Arabidopsis thaliana: one gene and its partner. The protein of the gene in region 2 interacts with the protein of the main gene of each other region in a pairwise test. Each region holds a gene or a part of one and is shown on either strand. Other genes may lie near its edges. The genes, in order: AT2G42490 and AT5G56220.

Region 1 (9,306 bases), on a different chromosome or scaffold from region 2:
TTTATTTGTTAGTTTCACGCATAAAAGTCCTCTTTTTATAGAACAAGAAAAACCTTCTCAAAACCCTAGCTCAAAAACAAAACTGACAAATAAATCAATAAATAAAATAATTGATAAACCAATACTTAATTAGACTAAAAATAATCATTCCTCCAAATAAAGAAATAGATAATCATTCCTCTCTTCGTTAATATCTAAGTAAAAAACAAATTTTACTTTATCTACTAATGAAAAAAAATAAAAAAATTCTACAATATTATACTTTTTCTACTAAAATAAATTTTACATTTTCAATTAATTAAGGAGAATCTTCTCAGAAGTCTGTTGGTTGTGGCGGGGGCAGACCCGTGGAAGAAAGGTGGGTCAGCTGACCCCGCATAAAAATGGGAGCAATGAATCATTTGAACATGAACTATTATGGTTTGGTTGGCTTAATTGGTTAGTTGTTTGTGTCTTGACCCACCTAAACCCACGTTTAATGATTCATTCCTCCCAATTTTTCCTCTATTTTTTCTGTTGGGCCATAGCCCATTCTTTAAACTTCAATAATTGTTTTCAAAGTGGGCAAATGACTTCTTTTCATTTTTCACTTGTTTTCTCTTTTCGGTAGATATGTCATATGTGAGACTGGATTCACCATCACCACGAAAAAGGGAGAGAGAAGGGCTAATAAAATCCGCACAAGCAAATCGGAGTTACTATGTGGACCGTGAAACCGGCGGCGATGCCGAATCAATTTCTTATGAGACCCACCGTAGCAACTTCTGTCGGCTATTCACAGCCACCACCACCGCATAATGTTATGATCGAGAATTCTTCTGAAATTTTCTGAGCTCAATTTCTTAATTTGTGAATTGATTTGTGGCAAGAGCGACTCCATGGGACTTGGAGCCATCTCGTCTCTGCTACATATATGTGGGCAAGAGCAGTGCTACTTATGCAACAGGTAACTCCAGTGTTTTTCTTTGGGTTTTAGCTAAGATTTTTAGGCTATATGAATTGCATTTGGTTTGGACTATATGTTATCTGTGTGGAATCGAATCAAAATTATCAATCTGGTTCGTCGGAGTTGGATCAATTGTGGAAGTGACAATTGCTAGTTTGTCGTTTGTGTTTTTAATTTCGGTTCGATTTACATGGTTTTGAAAAATTCAATTGATTTCGGTTGGGTTTGAATTGGAATTAAAGGAGAAAAACACTGAAATCACGCACTCGAGGCTTTTTTAAAAAAGAGCGAGTGTGTTTCAAAACAAGCCATTTGGTGGGTTAGAACCCTCAGAAAACGTAGACACGCCCTCAACACGCGATTAGTGAGAGTGGGTGTGAAATCACGTAAAAGGTGAGAATGGGGTATGACATGGAGCGCTCTGATTGGCTTATAAAATGAAAATAGTAGAGATGTTGCTCCTCTCTTCCAATGTTTATATTTATTTGCTTCTCTTTTCCAAAGTATGAAACTAATGCAATTCATAGAAGAACACACACACCAAACACGAAAATAAAAGATTCAAATATGAAATTTTAATAGAAATATTCCAATGACAAAGGTCTTTTTAGTCTTGCAAACACACACACCAAACACGAAAATAAAAGATTCAAATATGAAATTGTTCTTAACCAACAGCAACGCCTCCAATTTTTTAAGAGATCAAAGAAAGAAAACAAATGATATTCATATTCTTCAAAGCTTTGAAAGTAAACCAGTCTGAAGAGCTTTCGGTGCTACAACCTCTTTGACTTCACTCTCCTTAGTCTCCAATTCGCATGGATTCGGTGGCACATCTACTGCCGGTGAGCAGTTGAAAAATCCATGTGGCTGTATTTTACCCAAAACCCAAAACATTTTTTAACCAATCCTTTGTAAGGTTTTTTTTCCATTGAAAGTTACAGTCAAAGATTTAACTTACCATTAGTGTGAAACCAATATGTTCGACGGGCATAACCGGCCAATCTTCAAGTCTAGGAACATGTGTGATCCCAAACACGTACCTGGTGACAAATGAAAATTCCACATTGAAAGTCACATAATTTGGTAAGTAGTAGTTTTTAACTGAATCAGATAAGTAAAACAAGGATACAGACCAAAGAACGACGTCAGATTCTTCCAAGGAGCGATTCTGTTTCACCCATGTGGCAAGACCTTCACCAGCCCGTGGGTTTTGGTTTGGGAATTCTCCTCCAGGAAACTTCTCGTCTGGGGCGTAACGGGTAACCCAGAGATTATGCTTCAGGAAAGCGGCTCTTCTTAGAAACTTCGCCTCGGGTCGAGCTAATGGCAAACAATTTGAACCCGGAACAAGTTTGTATCCCGTTAATTGGCCCGTCCTGTTTACAGTCCTTGTGTTCCTTACCTGATAACACATTACAATGATTTGTGTTGAATATACATCTTGCGTGAGTATACCATCTATACTTCAGCTACAAATCATATTCAATGAAACTCTGAGATGATTTTTTGGTAAAGGAACTCAAGTATGAGACTATATAAACACATGACTGAAACTTAGGGATGCTCAGGTGATCTCTTATCCCAAATCCAGTCTCAAGGATGAGACTAGTAGATAGTCAAGGATGAAAGAAATATAAACAAGGATATTACAGAGACGGGTACGAGCACTGACAATGTGAAAGTTAAACATGCAATAAATGGACGAGAACATGCAAGGTACGGTTTTTGCTTACAATCCAATGGCGAGCAGAAAGAGGGTCACAGTCACGCATCGCCACTGCCTCAGATTTAAGTAACTTCTCTTCCGCATAAAACGCATTGTTGTGGACATTGTTCTCACCTCGCTCGTCAACTCTAACATTTACCTCAACTACCTACAGATAAAAGTGGATTAAGCTGACTATTGAGCAAAACCAGCTGACAACATGTATCTAAGATTTTTTTTCAAGAACTATAGGGACTTCTAAAATTCATATGCTACCAATGCCATTCCTAAATACTGAGAAAATAATCCGCATATGTAAGTAAATAACAAGAAGAAGAGCAGCATCATAAAAAGGTACCTGATTAAAAGCTTCAGCAGGTTTACAGTCAACAGACATATCCATGCGAGCGATAAAGAAATGTTGATGGACTGGTGCATACAACCCAGGAGCAATAGTAGTACCGTACTTTCGAGTTTCACCTGGCTGCAGAGCTCCTAAACTGAGGATACCAGTAAGTTTTACTTCAGCTTCGATTTTCCCATCCTACAGTAAGACATTCAAGACATAAAATGATATTGGTCTTCAAATATCTAGAAAGATGAAACTACAAATCAGAAAACAAATGAAACTCGGATTCAGCACTGTAAATCAATGTCCTCAAGTGAAAAATCACAAGCAAAGTGCCACTAAACTCAGGATTTATTCTCATGCGGAGACACATCATTTGTCTTCCCTATAGAAATTAGATGCAAATATGACTAATATCTGCTTTACTCAAGAAATGAAGAATCACGTATTCCACTAACCTGGTAGAAGTGCCAGTAAAACCCATACTCGTAGTTGGCAACAGTACATAGAAAAGAGACAGTTAGTCTCCTAGATCTTCGCACTTCGGCTAATCCTGTTCTCCAGTCCTGATGTTTCCACAAAATCCCATGATCTTCTTCATGCAAGCAAACACAGTTCTCAATTGTTTCAACTCCTCCAGTGAAATTTGTGAAATGGGCATCGAAGTACTTGATAGATCCCAGACAGTCACACCCCTATAAAAACCGATTGTTAAACACAAACTGAGATCTGAGTGGTAAGAACACCAAAAAAAAAACTGATGTCAAACCTTCTTAAGCGAATGTGCGTTTTTCCCGAGACCATCCTCCCCTGCATCAAAAGCATTTTTCCTGTAATGTGGCTCATTAGGATCGCCATAAGGCACAACCATTTCCACAAAACTTAGCCTGTGTGCAACAGGCCTTCGACCTCGACTGCCATCAACATATGCTACCGAATGTATGACTAAACCTTCCCTTGGAGTGAATCCAATACGAAAGTTCCACTGTAAACAAAATGTTGAGCCAATTTAGAAATAAGCTTAAGCATAATCACTTGGTTTCAAGTAGGCTATTACTGGAAATCTACCTTCTGCCACTCGACAAAGTAACCCCTTACACGAAAACTTGGACCTTCAGGCTGAATAATCTGGAGAGGCTTAACATCACTTCTATCAACACCCCCTCTACTTTCACCTGGGGTATAATTCCTCAAAGGGTCAGGTGGGGGGAGTGGCACAAACTTACGGTCTTCAAATTCAATCACCACCATGTTTTGCATGTCTACAAGTACATAAATGCCCTCAACTGGACGAGCATATCCATTTTCCATAGGGGAATCACTATCAGTCCGACAGTATATAAGGGGCTTTGCAAGCCTACGACTAGGAGCGTCAGCCTCACTGTGATAACCCACACACCTGCACAATACATTAAGAGGTAGGCTCAGAGAAGAAGTACACCTTAATTGTCAACAGAAACGATGATGTTGTTAACATACCAGGGATCAACCATCACTAGATCCATGTCTTCAATACCTCTCCTCTTCATTGCCTCTATGAATGGTGGGAAGTCTTTGACAATCGCTTCACATTCAGCATATTCAGCCGCATCCTAAAATCAAAAGAATCTAAACTTAGAGACTGGCAAACAACGGTAGCATCTAAAAGTCACTTAGAGATCCAATTCCTTAAAACATAGTTTAACATACCATGGGTGGCTGAACATCAGGTATAACTTGTGAGGAAACAACTCTTCCCCTGTGATGTCCACCCCGAGTGACAGCATGAACTTCAGACAATGCCACAATCCATACACTTGTCTCATTAGACTTTTGGTTGTAAACAACAAGTCTAGCTCGCCTTGGAGGGAGCTTCATCGGAATCACAGGTCCAGATTTAGTTCTTGGAAGTAGTGATGGCTGGAACGGTGGGAAAAAGTAAGCATCAGCGAGCGCCACAACTTGTTTATCTGGTTCCACTGATGCCACCTCAATGAAACGCATGCCATCCCTAACCTGCCAAAGAAAAAGTAAAACAGTTTCAGTGACAATGTTATCAAGCATTCTGCATTTGTCAAGAATCAAGTAAGTTTGCGCACCTCAGGATTGGCACCAGCTGCGCGAACAGTCGCCACAGCAACTGATATTTCTGCAGCAGAAAGAGGATCCAATGGGTGCTTGGTTTCAGTCCTTGGCATCACAGAAATCCCTGCATTGGTGATCACAACAGAAAATCAACTTCACAGAAACCACAATAGTGATCACAATTAGATCTCAATCAGAAGCCATCAAGTAGACAAGAACCAATTTCACAAAAAGTAACCATCATCAACAAATTCCAGTAAACAAGAAGTCAAGTAATTCAAACGAATCGCGAGCTAACATCAGAAGAATGAAGGACGATCAACGATCAAATCAAACCTTTGTTGGCAGGTTTCTTGGCAGTATTATCAGGAAACGAATCGACAGGGCGGATAACGGATTCCAAAGAAACTTTAGAGGCTCGCTGATCGTCAGCGTCGGACCATACAGCAACGGTATCGGGAGCAGCGGAGACGAGTTTGGGAGGCGGAAGAGAGCCACCGTGGTGAGGACATGCCGACGTCTTTTTCGAAGCTGAGGCCATTGAATAGGGTTCACAAGTTCTCCAAATCCACCAAAATCAGTTTCAACACAATCCACTGACATACAGCAAAACCTATCACTATCCGTCGCTTGATCTTCCCCCTTCTCTCCACTTCTAGAAGCTCCAAGAAGAAGAAGAAGAAGAAGATTCCGATCTCCGATGATGACACAAAAATCCACAGCTACTACTACTAGTACAGTCTTCTCTCTCTCGACTTGAGCTCCGTCACAAGAAGTTGGATTCGTCACCGGATCTTGAGTTCTCCGTGATCGTATAATCGCTCTTCAATTTGTTTGTTTTTTTAAAGAGTTTGATTTTTGTTGGAGAGTCCAAGCAGAAGCGGCCAAAGCCTTATTTGTGGGCTCTCCTACTTTTTAACAAGTACCTATTTATATTTTTTTTTAAAGGTCTAATTATTTGTTTTAGAAAGAAATCCAACTTGGATAACGACGTGGATGCACTATTGTTCATGAGTTTCTCAATTTGTAATTTACTATTTGGAAATATATATTATATGTGTCTAATTAGAGTCAAACATATTTTCCATTTGAATTTTTTAAGTACTAAATATATAAAACTGGAAATTAAAATATAGGTAAGGAAAATATTGGAAGTTCTTATCTAAGGAGTTTTAACAAAGGTAAAGTATATAGGATGATGGAAATAGAAAAATATGACAATTGACAGACTACATAAGGTTATATGTCACTATCCGAAAATTTATTTCAAAATAAAAAAATTGGGAAAAAATTAACCAAAAAAAAATGAAACATATATGTTTTGTTAAATAAGTTTGACGTGTTTCACCAAAATTCTACACGCATAATTATTATTCTTATCAGGTTTATGCTGTTATTGGACACTACATTGTTTTAAGAAGTAAGCAGAATGGAACATAGCCAAAAAAAAAACATGAATACAACCAAAATAGTCTTATTAACTTGAGTTTGAGGTGTTTCACCAAAACTTGGAGACAATTGATATGATATATACTTTTAGAGCAGTATATTAATTATTAGATCCTGACAGATATTATAGAAAATATGTATGAAAACAAAAAAAAACGAATTGGTGTCGTTTATGTTTTATCACATAAAAATCACAAGAAGCTTATAAAATTACAAAAGTTACTAATCAAAGTGTTTTGATATGTTATGGTTTTAAGATTGTAAAATACAAATATAGTGCATGATATATAAATATATGTATATAGTTGTAATAATTAGATCGTGGAGTGGACCGCATAATCCATGCAATATCGACCACCAAAGAACCGCTGTCTACAACTAGTGGTATTACGAGGCTCACATTATTTATGAAATTCACGAAATTAAAAACTCTTCATTCGTCCATGACTCCATAATCTAGTTTAGCCTTACATAGTCCATGACTCCATATTCTGTCATCACAGTTTATATATTATTGTCTTCGGTGCGAAAACACGTCATGTTAACGTAGACTATTGAATTACACTTTGTTTTCTAGTCTTTGGTTTGTTTTGTTTCTTGTGAAACCTTCAATAGTAGGCAAAACGTTTAGAATTCCAATATAAACTGTTCTCTTTTGATGAATGAATACATAAGATTTTGGTCTATCACATTGTTCTCAACTATATTGTTCATTGTTTTTTTATGTTTTTTGGCTAAGAACTATATTGTTCTTTGTTGTTAAGCAAATGTATTACTTATCTTATTATTTCTTAGATATCTTTTGTCATTACTATGGATTTGCCTTTGTATGCCTTGTTGCGTTTGGTAAAGATCAAACTCATACTCTCTGGTTTTGTTCAGTTACTGATAGAAACAAGCACCAATTCTTGATTGACCAAAGAAAAGTCCCGAGAAAGTAGAATGTGTTCCCTTTACAACAACCTTTAACCTTCTACTTCCCACAGCTACTTTGTATTTAGACTGGATTACGACTCTATACATTAAAACACTTGTCTATCCAGCTCAGCACCAACTCAGGAGCTTTCTCATTGAGCTCTTCATTTAGAGGTCTATCAATTTGCTCCTTCCAGTCTGCACTGAGTCTCAATGTTGTTCTTTATTTATCTCATTCTCAATGCAATAGCCATGAGTACAACAAAGCCTTCAATGCCGTTAGATTGCAAGTCAAGAGAAGGTTCACAGTCGAACATTTTGAGTGGCTGATCTGATGCGTTCAGCGACTATTGTTATTATATCAAGCTTTGAAGAACAAATAAACATAACAATTTCAAGGTTCTATTCAAAAATCAGAGATGTTCAAGAACGAATAACGTGAAATAAAATTAGAAGATTTCTCACATGAAACCACATTCTGATGCAGAAGGGAGAAGAAGAAGAAGCTAATAACATCAACAAAACAATGTTCATAATGGGTATCTTTTTTCTTTTCTTGGTTATAGAGGAAGATAAGAAGCCTTCTTCGCCTATAATACACACTATATTCCGGTGGTGGGCACTAAGTTGAATTTTAAACAGAGCAACCTGAACACAATGCATAGGACCAGAATCTAGAGTTAGCCAACTGTGACTTTTCACTTGTGGGTGCCTGCAGCTGCTGATTGAGATGAGTCTGTGTCCAGTGATCACAGGAAATAGTCTGGAGTCCTTCGGGTGACGTCTGGTTCTCCTCTCCTCGGTGCTGGTTCAAACTGCACTCACATTTTATATACTCAAGTTAGCTTTGGTCATTCTTCTACACTAGTTTCATTAGCAGACAAGACATGTGGGATTTGGGGAAAGACCTGGATGAAGGTGTGGTTCCTGCAGTCGTCGACCTCAAGAATCGAGGCCATGTTCCCACAACGGTAACAATAGTTTGGTGCACTGAAAATAGTAACCACTTTTTGCTCCTGTTTGATAGGGAAGACAGTAAAAATGAGCTCAGAATCTTAAGCCTTGCAAAGCTATGCAAAGAAAGGTTTATAGTTTCATTATTACGTGAGCCCAGTTGTATCCATCCATAACCAACTGGTGAGCTCGGGCGATCAGCTTTAAGTTGTTTGTGTGATTGAATTGTTCAGATATATCCTATGGAAACAAAATGAAAAAAGAGAAAAGTCAATTCGACACTTGCTTTAAAAACAGAGAGAATCAGGACTGTTTCTGAGACGTAAGACTTGTAATTACCTGACCAAATGTATATCCGGCACCCCGAGGAGAGATGCCCCAACCACATCGGTCATCGGGGTCAGACCATAATAAGTCACACATCGGCCCTTCATGGGGCACTTCTTGAACTCGATCAAAATTCCTTATGTTGTCAAGGGTCTCGATAGATGGAGATAATCCACCATGAAGGCAAAATATTTCTGACTCAACCTGCAGGGAAAAAACATAATGATTTGATGATTCCCAAAAATTTGTGTAGAAAATACCAACGATTTAGTCAGATAAGGCATACATGAAATCTTCCATATATAACAGATCTCCATTCTTTGCATTTTTCAGAATACTAACGTCTTGCAATTGATGTGACACTAGCAAAAGAAATACGACAGCACAGTACAAAAGTACTACTTTGGTTCCAAATAATACTGCCAGCACAAGACAAAGAACTGATCATCTATATTAATTGACTACCGGACGAGGATAGACTTATATGTGAACCCCCACTAACAAAAAAGGAAGAAAAATGTGAGACATGTATGATAGGTACTAACCAAGGCTGTCAGAGGAAAATAGTCGAAGAGGTCTGTAAAGATTTTCCAA
Region 2 (8,346 bases):
TCCCATCTTTTCAGACCCAAACCGGTAAGAAGAGCTTGCTTCACTAGCTCCTTCGTGTCCTGCGTGTATGCAACTGCTGCTTTCTCCTCCATCATGCAGTGATGTTATAGGTTCTTCTTTCCCAAGCTCTTGGAATTTTTGAAGTTCTGAAAAGGGAAAAAGAACAGGAGTTTAGTCAAACTCGAAACACAATCATGTTAATATTACACGGCATCATAAGGAACCAGTGTTAGAGTCATTCAAGTTTTAGTTGATTAGGACTACTACAATGCAGCAACAATCAAATTCCAAATGAAAATCTGTATTTATGAAATTGATACCTTTTTGGAGGGCTTCTTGCAAAGTCTGGAAACTGTTGACGGCTACTATTAATGGATCCAGATTGTCTGATGAACCATTGCTCTTGATTTGAGACTCTTCAACACAGTCTCCTTGTGAATAGTCTTCTGTTTCTTCTTCTTCTTCTTCCACGTTATCCTTTCTCTTCGAAGTATGTGCGTCATGATCACTATTTTCATCGTCATAATCCATCATTCTTCTTCCGCCTTGTTCTCTGCTACTCAAACTATAGGAAGCACCCTGCATAAACACAAAGTTGGAGCTTCTTGAGTCAGCAGATTCCATGCTGGAATGAGAGTTTTCCTTCTCAATTTTGATCCTTTCTCCTCTAAGTTTATTACTCTTCTCTACACTACTCTTCCTTTGTTGACTACTATCCCCCGAACTAATCACACTCTTCCCACCCGAGACCTTTCCTCTATGTTTGTCCCAAGAATGACTCATTGTACTACTCCGATCCTCACTGTTATCCGAATCAACACCAGCTGCAAAAGCAAGACCATTGCCATAACTCTCCCCACCCATTACAAAACCAACCACACTATTCACCGAGCCAACAGAACCAACACTATCTTGTCTAACTTCAGGTCCTGGCAAATGCATTTGTTTAGCATTCGGATCAACTAATCCTGACAACACCCTCTTCAGAGCTTTACTATTCTCCATACTCACAGAAGTATCATCCTTAACAAGATCTCTCCTTAACCTCCTCTTCCATTTTCTTAAACCAAATCCTTTTGATATAAGAGGAGAAGTCTCAACCGGTGAATTCAACTCTTTATCAAGATCACCAATCAAACCATTATTATCTTCAACAGATTCAAGAACAGAGCTTTCACTCTCCAAATCCATGACGACGCCACAAAAATACTAACTTTTCACATGGGATCAATCTCAAGACTAAACAACCACCATTCCAGTAAGAACCAGAGGCAAATTCAATAAAACCAAAATACGAAAACAAAAATGAAGCAATAGGGTTCTCTAAATTCAACTCAATTCCCAGATTAATCACATTTACGAAAGCCAATGAATCGAAAGTTTCGAGCTTGACGTACCTAATAAAATGGAACGCAAAACCACTCAAAGGTGAATCCTTTACGAAGAGACCGAAACGAAATTAGAAGACGATTTAAACGATTCGCAGAGATCTCTCTCTATATCCGTTGATTGTGGAAAGTTTCGTTGCGAAAAATCGTTTTTTTTTTCCCGGTTACGATCAAAAAACATTTTGATTCGTTTCCTTTTTTTTGTAATAGAGAAATACGAACGTGTGAGCGACATGGTCGGGACACGTGGCGAAACCGCTGGATACTTCAGCAACTACTCGGATATTTTATGACCGTTCGATTCGACGTGATCTTATCTGGTCGGATCTGGAATTCAACGGTGTGTGATATACCGTTAGGACTTTAATATGATCTCGACTATTTTACTAATTTACCCTCGTCTTTCTAACTTCTTCAGTTTTGACGTTTACATCTTTTCTATATACAGTGGTTGCCGTTTTTAGGTATGGAAACAACGAGACTTATCCTTGAGCGTTTGATAAACGCTTCCACATCGTTTGATAACGAGACTTTTCTACATACAGTATCAATCTTGTTTTGTTCATACGTCACACACTCCAAGATTTTGATGGTAAATTTTTTGTTTTTGTGTGTGTGTGTGTGTAATGTGTATGTTTTTAAAGTCCCTTATGATTGTAGATAAATGTGAAAATGTGTGGGGTAAATAAATAAAAAGTCACAAGTGGACTGGTCTTGGACCAATTCCCACTGTGAAATCAGATTTCAAATGTTGTGTCAGTGTACACATACATACATGCACCACCTTGAATTAAAAAAAAAAGATAATTACTCGATTATGAGGAGTTTATCTTACAAATTACAATATACTAAAATGTTATTGATAAGAAAAATTGTCAAATACTACTAGGTTACTACTTATGTTATGTTAGTACTATTGTTAGAAATTTAGTTCATAATCACATAGTGGAAGGAATTTCACTTACTTAGAACCCAAAATATGTTTTACGTAAAATATTCTCTTGACATTTTTCTCCTATTAATTGCAGCAATGATAGTATTATATGATTCAATACTCAATATAGTACAATGTTTGGAGTTTTCTATAGACCACAAAATACAAACAGTAAATGACAAACAACCAAAGTACTAAGAAAATTGAAAATGGTTCCCTTTCTTCAATCCTACAACCTCTTTTAAGCTCAAAGTTCAATGTCTTAAATCTGACTCTTGTCTATTTAACTCTCTTAAATCCAATGTAACCCATGTTATATTTATACTTCTCTAATAACTCGATCTTAAATAAAAACTGGAGTCTTCTTGGTAAACTAAAGAAGAAAAAAAAACTCATTAAAAATTTCCAGAAAATGCAGAGGAGGTTGAGAGAAGAGAGAGAGGAGAGCTAAAAACAAATGACATAAAGGAGAATCCAAGATTATAAATTTAAGTTAATTATAAAATGGTTTTTGATTAAGTGGGTGATCATTATAAAATGACATTGGTACATGTTTAGACATTAACCATCTCCAGGCTGCTTCTCTCTTAACCATTTCTTTAATCACTATTTTAAAAACAAATTAATGTCCATAAGCACTTTCAGATCCAACTCACAACTCCAGATTCTTCTCCCTCTTCATTATCACAATCTTCTGCTCTTCCTCAAAAAGAAACACAGAGAGAAAGATAGACGAGAGAGACAGGCTTGGTAATGAAAAGATATGCAGGGGAAGTGACACGTCTTTTTTTGCCTTGTGTCTGAAAAAGATCAAACAAAAGGGTAAGTCTTTAAGAAATCATCTTTAAAGATTTGACTAATATGTTGCTTTTTCATTGTTGGTCCTAGCTAGAGAGTAAAAAGATTCAATCTTGTTAATGATGATGAACATTAGACCACAAACTCAATGTAAAGCAATGATTTTTCTTCTGACCCGTGACCTCTCCATTGTTGCAGAGACTCTCTGAAACTGGCTTGGTGTTGTTGGTCAAATCTGAAGTAAGAGGAGGAGGAGAAATTAAATAAAGAAAAGAAGAAAACACAAATTGGGTTTCAACAGTGTTGTAGAAGAGGGACCCCACAAAATGGAAGAGTTAGATACATCACATGCAGTTTCTCAGATTTTACCTCAATCTCATTGAACTGCATCAACTGTTGCATTCATGTTCTGACTCATCTCCTCTCAGTCCCACTCACTTCAATATCATCTGTCAGAGAAACACCATTATGAGATTCATTACCAAGTTAGAGAGATAAAGACATAACCTTTTGAAGCTGAGAGGTGAGAGCTTTCATTTGAGTTTAATTTGTGTTTGGTGAAAGAAGTAAAAGGAGTAATGAAGGGAATAGAAGAAGAAGCAAGTTTAGTTGGTTTAACCATAAGAACTTCATCACCAGCAAGCTCTTCAAGTAAGAAAGGTAAAGAAGATCTTCTTCAAGCAAATAATAATGCTTCAGATTCATCTCCAAGTATCAAAAACTCTCCTTTCTATTCACCTTCTCTTGTGTCCCCACCATCTTCTGCTTTTGTTTCCGCTTTGCAATCTCCTTATATATCCCCAAGAGCTACAACACCCTCCATTACCACTCACAAGCCATCACCGCCTCTTTCTTACAAAGGCTCACAATCTGATGATGTACCAAGCAGCTCCTACACTCCTCCTTCTGACCAGTACGAGTTTTCTGATGAACAACCATCAGATCGGAAGCTCAAGTTATCAGCATCTTGTACTCCAGATCCTGCTCCTCCAAGGATCTCTTTCTCTTTCCCTGTTCCTAGGGTTTCTTTGGCTAAAGTCTCTGTTTCTTCACCTGCAACTAACACCAAGCTCAGGAGCTCTGATGTCTTCATAGGGTTTCATGGACAAAACCCAAACTTGGTGAGATTCTGCAAATGGTTAAAGTCAGAGCTTGAGCTTCAGGGAATCGCTTGTTTCGTTGCTGACAGAGCTAAGTATTCGGACACACAGAGTCATGAGATCGCCGACAGAGTTATCTGTTCTGTTACTTATGGGATTGTGGTTGTCTCTTGTTCCAGCTTGCTCAACTACCTTAGCTTGGAGGAAGTTAGGTTCTTTGCTCAAAAGAAGAACTTGATTCCTATTTTCTATGGAACTGGTCCTTCTGAGATTATGGGTCTTCTCAACTGCAATGCCATAGATAAAGAGTGTAAAGAAGCCATTGATGGGTTGATTAAGTCTCATGAGTTTAAACTAGAAGCTAATGAGAGTAACTGGAGAAGCTGTGTGGGAAAGACTGCGACGATTCTCAGGGCAAAGCTTGGGAGGAAGAGTGTGGCTGATAAAGAGATTGTGGAAGGGATTGATGAGCTTCCATTTCCGAGGAACAGATCTTTTCTTGGAAGAGAAAAGGAGATCATTGAAATGGAGATGGCTTTATTTGGTAATGGAGAGTATCTTGAGTCTACAACACCAAGTACCAGAGGAGAAGCAAGTGGACAATCTGAAGGACTTGCAGATGAGGAATCAGATGTTGTACCAACTCGAAATGGGAAGTTTATTAGCTTGGAGCTTGGAAGATGCTCAGATTCAAGAAGTGAGGCTTGGAGTGATCCAAATGGTGGGAAAAACTCTCTTAAAAGATTGTTGAAGACTAAGAAGTGTAGAAACAATAGTAACTGCAAAAGTAGCACAAGTGTTGTTTGTGTAAATGGAGTTCCAGGGATTGGGAAGACAGAGTTAGCTCTTGAATTCGCTTACAGGTATTCTCAGAGGTATAAGATGGTTTTGTGGGTCGGAGGGGAAGCTCGATACTTTAGACAGAACCTGTTAAATCTGTCATTCAGCTTGGGGCTTGATGTTAGTGCAGATGCTGAGAAGGATAGAGGTAGACTAAGGAGCTTTGATGAACAAGAGTTTGAAGCTTTCAAGAGAATAAAGCGTGAGTTATTCAGAGACATGCCTTATCTGTTGATCATTGATAATCTTGAGATAGAGAAGGATTGGTGGGAAGGGAAAGATCTAAATGATTTGATTCCGAGGAACACCGGAGGAACACATGTTTTGATCACTACTAGACTTCCTAAAGTCATGACCTTTGACACTGTGCAGCTTTCTATATTGCCTTCGTCTGATGCAATGGTGTTACTGAGAGGAAGAAGAAAGAAAGATTACCCGGTGGAGGAGGTGGAGGTCCTCAAGCTTTTCGATGAGAAATTGGGAAGGTTGAGCTATGGTCTTTGGGTGGTTGGATCATTGCTTTCAGAGCTTGCAATTCTGCCTTCTGCTCTCTTTGAAGCTGTAAACAAAGTTCAAATCGAAGAACGTTCGGCCTCGCCTTTTCTGAACTTAAATGATGAGCAATACTGCAAGTCCAATCCATTTGTTGCAAAGGTTTTAGCTTTCAGTTTGGCTGTTTTGGAGCAAGCTGAGGGAAACAGAAACCTTCTCTCATTGAAAATGCTACTCGTGGGAGCTTGGTTTGCTCCTGTCCCTATACCGGTTAACTTATTAGCTGCAGCTGCTAAGAACATGCCCACAGGTGGAAACCGGTTCAGCAAATGGAACAAGTGTCTGAGTCACACATTTGCTTGGTGTGGTGGTTGTGGTTTAGGACGCAGAAGCGAAGAGGATGCTGCTTTTTTACTAGTCAGATTAGGACTAGCGAGGTTAACAAATAGACAACCTGGATGTTGGATTCAGTTCCATCCGATAACTCAAACTTTCGCGAGGAGACGAGACTACATCCTTGCACCAAAGGCAACAGTTCAAGGCGTGAGGAAAATCGATAACCCGTTGTTGAATCTTGATCACCTATGGGCTTCAGCTTTCTTAGTATTCGGATTCAAATCAGAACCTCCTTTGGTTCAACTACAAGCCATGGATATGGTACTTTACATCAAGAGAACAGCTCTTCCTTTAGCAATCACAGCTTTCACAACCTTCTCAAGGTGCAACTCCGCGCTGGAGCTCCTAAAAGTATGCACCAACGTGTTAGAGGAAGTGGAGAAATCATTTGTGTCTCAGATACAAGATTGGCGCCAAGGCTCGCTCTGTTGGAAGAAGAAGACTAACAAGAAAGTCGATGAATACGTGTGGCAGGATGTTACATTGTTGAAAGCTTTATTGCTGGAGACCAGAGCAAAGCTGCTGCTACGAGGCGGACATTTCGATAGTGGAGAGGAACTTTGCAGGACTTGTATCAGTATCAGGACAGTGATGCTTGGCCATAACCATGATCTCACTTTGGCTGCTCAAGAAACACTAGCAAAGTTAGTCAGAATGAGAAGCAAGATATGATGAAACCACACACAAAAACATTTCTCCTGGTTATTATTTCCACATTACTACTCTAAGCTCAGTTTTGTTGAAGACATCAAATCATGTAATGGCTATTTTTAACCTTTTTTAGAACAAATCTTATTCCTATGTACATTACCAACATCCTTATTGATCATTGTCTCTTTGTAAACGCATTGAATTCTCAAGCCAAAAAGCTCTAACCGATAAGTTAACCAATCAAACAAAAGAGATAACACAATCTCAGTAACAAACAGAATTGAAAAAGGACAAATACTCGTGTAAGAAGCTGGGACCAAAGACAAACACAGAAAAATAGGTATGGGCTTAAGTAAACATGCAATTTAATCAGTGTCTGGGTTTTGCCAACAAGTGTCACTCTCCCCTCTTCTGTTACTGGTCCCCGGAGTTCACTGCTCAGTTTTGTTTCCTTTTCAAAGGACTAAAAATTCTGACTTGTCATACAAATTGAGCTTAGGTTTTATCTGGTTTTGGTTAAACACAAAGTTAGTCAGAATCCAACAAAGCAAAAGCAGATTATTAAGGTATTGAATTGACAATCAAGAGAATATATGATCTCTTGAAGCTTTCAGATTTAGTATCTAATAACTAACAGTCAAACACTAAAAGCTGTGACTTTAAGATCAACAAGTTGGTCTCAAGCTTCACGACAAAACTGTCAAAGCTGTTGTGAGATATGTTTGCTTGAAGCAAGACTTGATACATTGTATCTGAAATCAGATGTAACATGTGAAGAAGAATGGATAGAGCAAGTTGATTCCTTCACTGTGAGACCAAATCAAACAAAAACTTATTCATTCTTCTCTTTTGAGTTCAATCCAACACAATATCAACACGAAAAATTACAATAAATCAAACAAATAAGTAAAAGAACTAAAATAATTGATGATAAAAAAAATTAAACTTATGTCACAAGCAATCAAGGAAAAGTAAATTTAGGGTAAGAACCAAATATCATCGGAGATTAGACCCGATCAAGCCTCCGTTAATAGCATCATCTTCCTCAAGGAAAAGCTCATCGGAGTTTCTAAAGACGGCGTGAATAATGCACAATAGCAAGCCAACGCTAACACCAACAGCTAAATTCACGGCGGAGTTAGTGAACCATATAGCCCAAACGGAAGCTAAGACTAGAAACAACAACACCGTACGATCACCGACTTGAAAGCTCCAGAGAATAAGTGGATCTTCTCTGAAAAAGTGAAAGATAAGCCACAAGGCGATGATTGCGCCAACGACGATTAAAGCGACGGGACTAGCTGTGATGAGAGCGAACGCTGCACACGTGGAGACGATGATAGTGTAGTTGACGAAAAAGTAGTTGAAATTCGTCTTTGATCGGAGGAGAAGAGAGGAAAAGCTCTCCGGGAGAGAGAAATCGCCGGAGAAGATGAGTTCTGACCAGGGACGGTGGCTAGAGATAGCGGTAGTGAGATTATGGATTGATCGTGAGACGACGTCGTTGGTAGGAAGCGGAATTGATATGTAGGTTATTGGAGGAGGAGAAGGAGTCATTCTCCCGGCGAGTTTTCCGATTTTGTTGACCGGTTTGACCCGACCCGAAATACAACCCCGTGCATATAGCTGGGGCTGGCTAATTAAAGAAAGGTGTTTCTAACGACTTTTTAAGTCAACCACCACATTATTCTTTTCACCAACCAATCAAATTTCAACACATAATAAATTATGTTACTTTAGAAGTTTA

The links.
Region 1: the proteins of AT5G56220 (region 2) and AT2G42490 interact in a two-hybrid assay, tested with the Arabidopsis thaliana proteins (one large-scale study listed by BioGRID).

Annotation. Positions count from the first base shown.
Region 1 is NC_003071.7:17,689,919-17,699,224, forward strand, and holds AT2G42490 (Copper amine oxidase family protein), read right to left. Parts: upstream 6,106-9,306; 5' UTR 5,609-6,105; coding exon 5,404-5,608; intron 5,192-5,403; coding exon 5,082-5,191; intron 4,999-5,081; coding exon 4,693-4,998; intron 4,596-4,692; coding exon 4,483-4,595; intron 4,403-4,482; coding exon 4,072-4,402; intron 3,989-4,071; coding exon 3,773-3,988; intron 3,699-3,772; coding exon 3,462-3,698; intron 3,199-3,461; coding exon 3,013-3,198; intron 2,824-3,012; coding exon 2,683-2,823; intron 2,352-2,682; coding exon 2,083-2,351; intron 1,990-2,082; coding exon 1,908-1,989; intron 1,817-1,907; coding exon 1,682-1,816; 3' UTR 1,489-1,681; downstream 1-1,488. Other genes in the region: PP2A-3 (protein phosphatase 2A-3), read right to left, coding at 8,181-8,246, 8,340-8,447, 8,536-8,625, 8,725-8,916, 9,258-9,306.
Region 2 is NC_003076.8:22,751,173-22,759,518, forward strand, and holds AT5G56220 (P-loop containing nucleoside triphosphate hydrolases superfamily protein), read left to right. Parts: upstream 1-2,800; 5' UTR 2,801-3,144; exon of another isoform or gene 3,145-3,318; 5' UTR 3,319-3,698; coding exon 3,699-6,620; 3' UTR 6,621-6,885; downstream 6,886-8,346. Other genes in the region: WIP2 (WPP domain interacting protein 2), read right to left, coding at 1-146, 321-1,191; PRA1.G2 (prenylated RAB acceptor 1.G2), read right to left, coding at 7,596-8,156.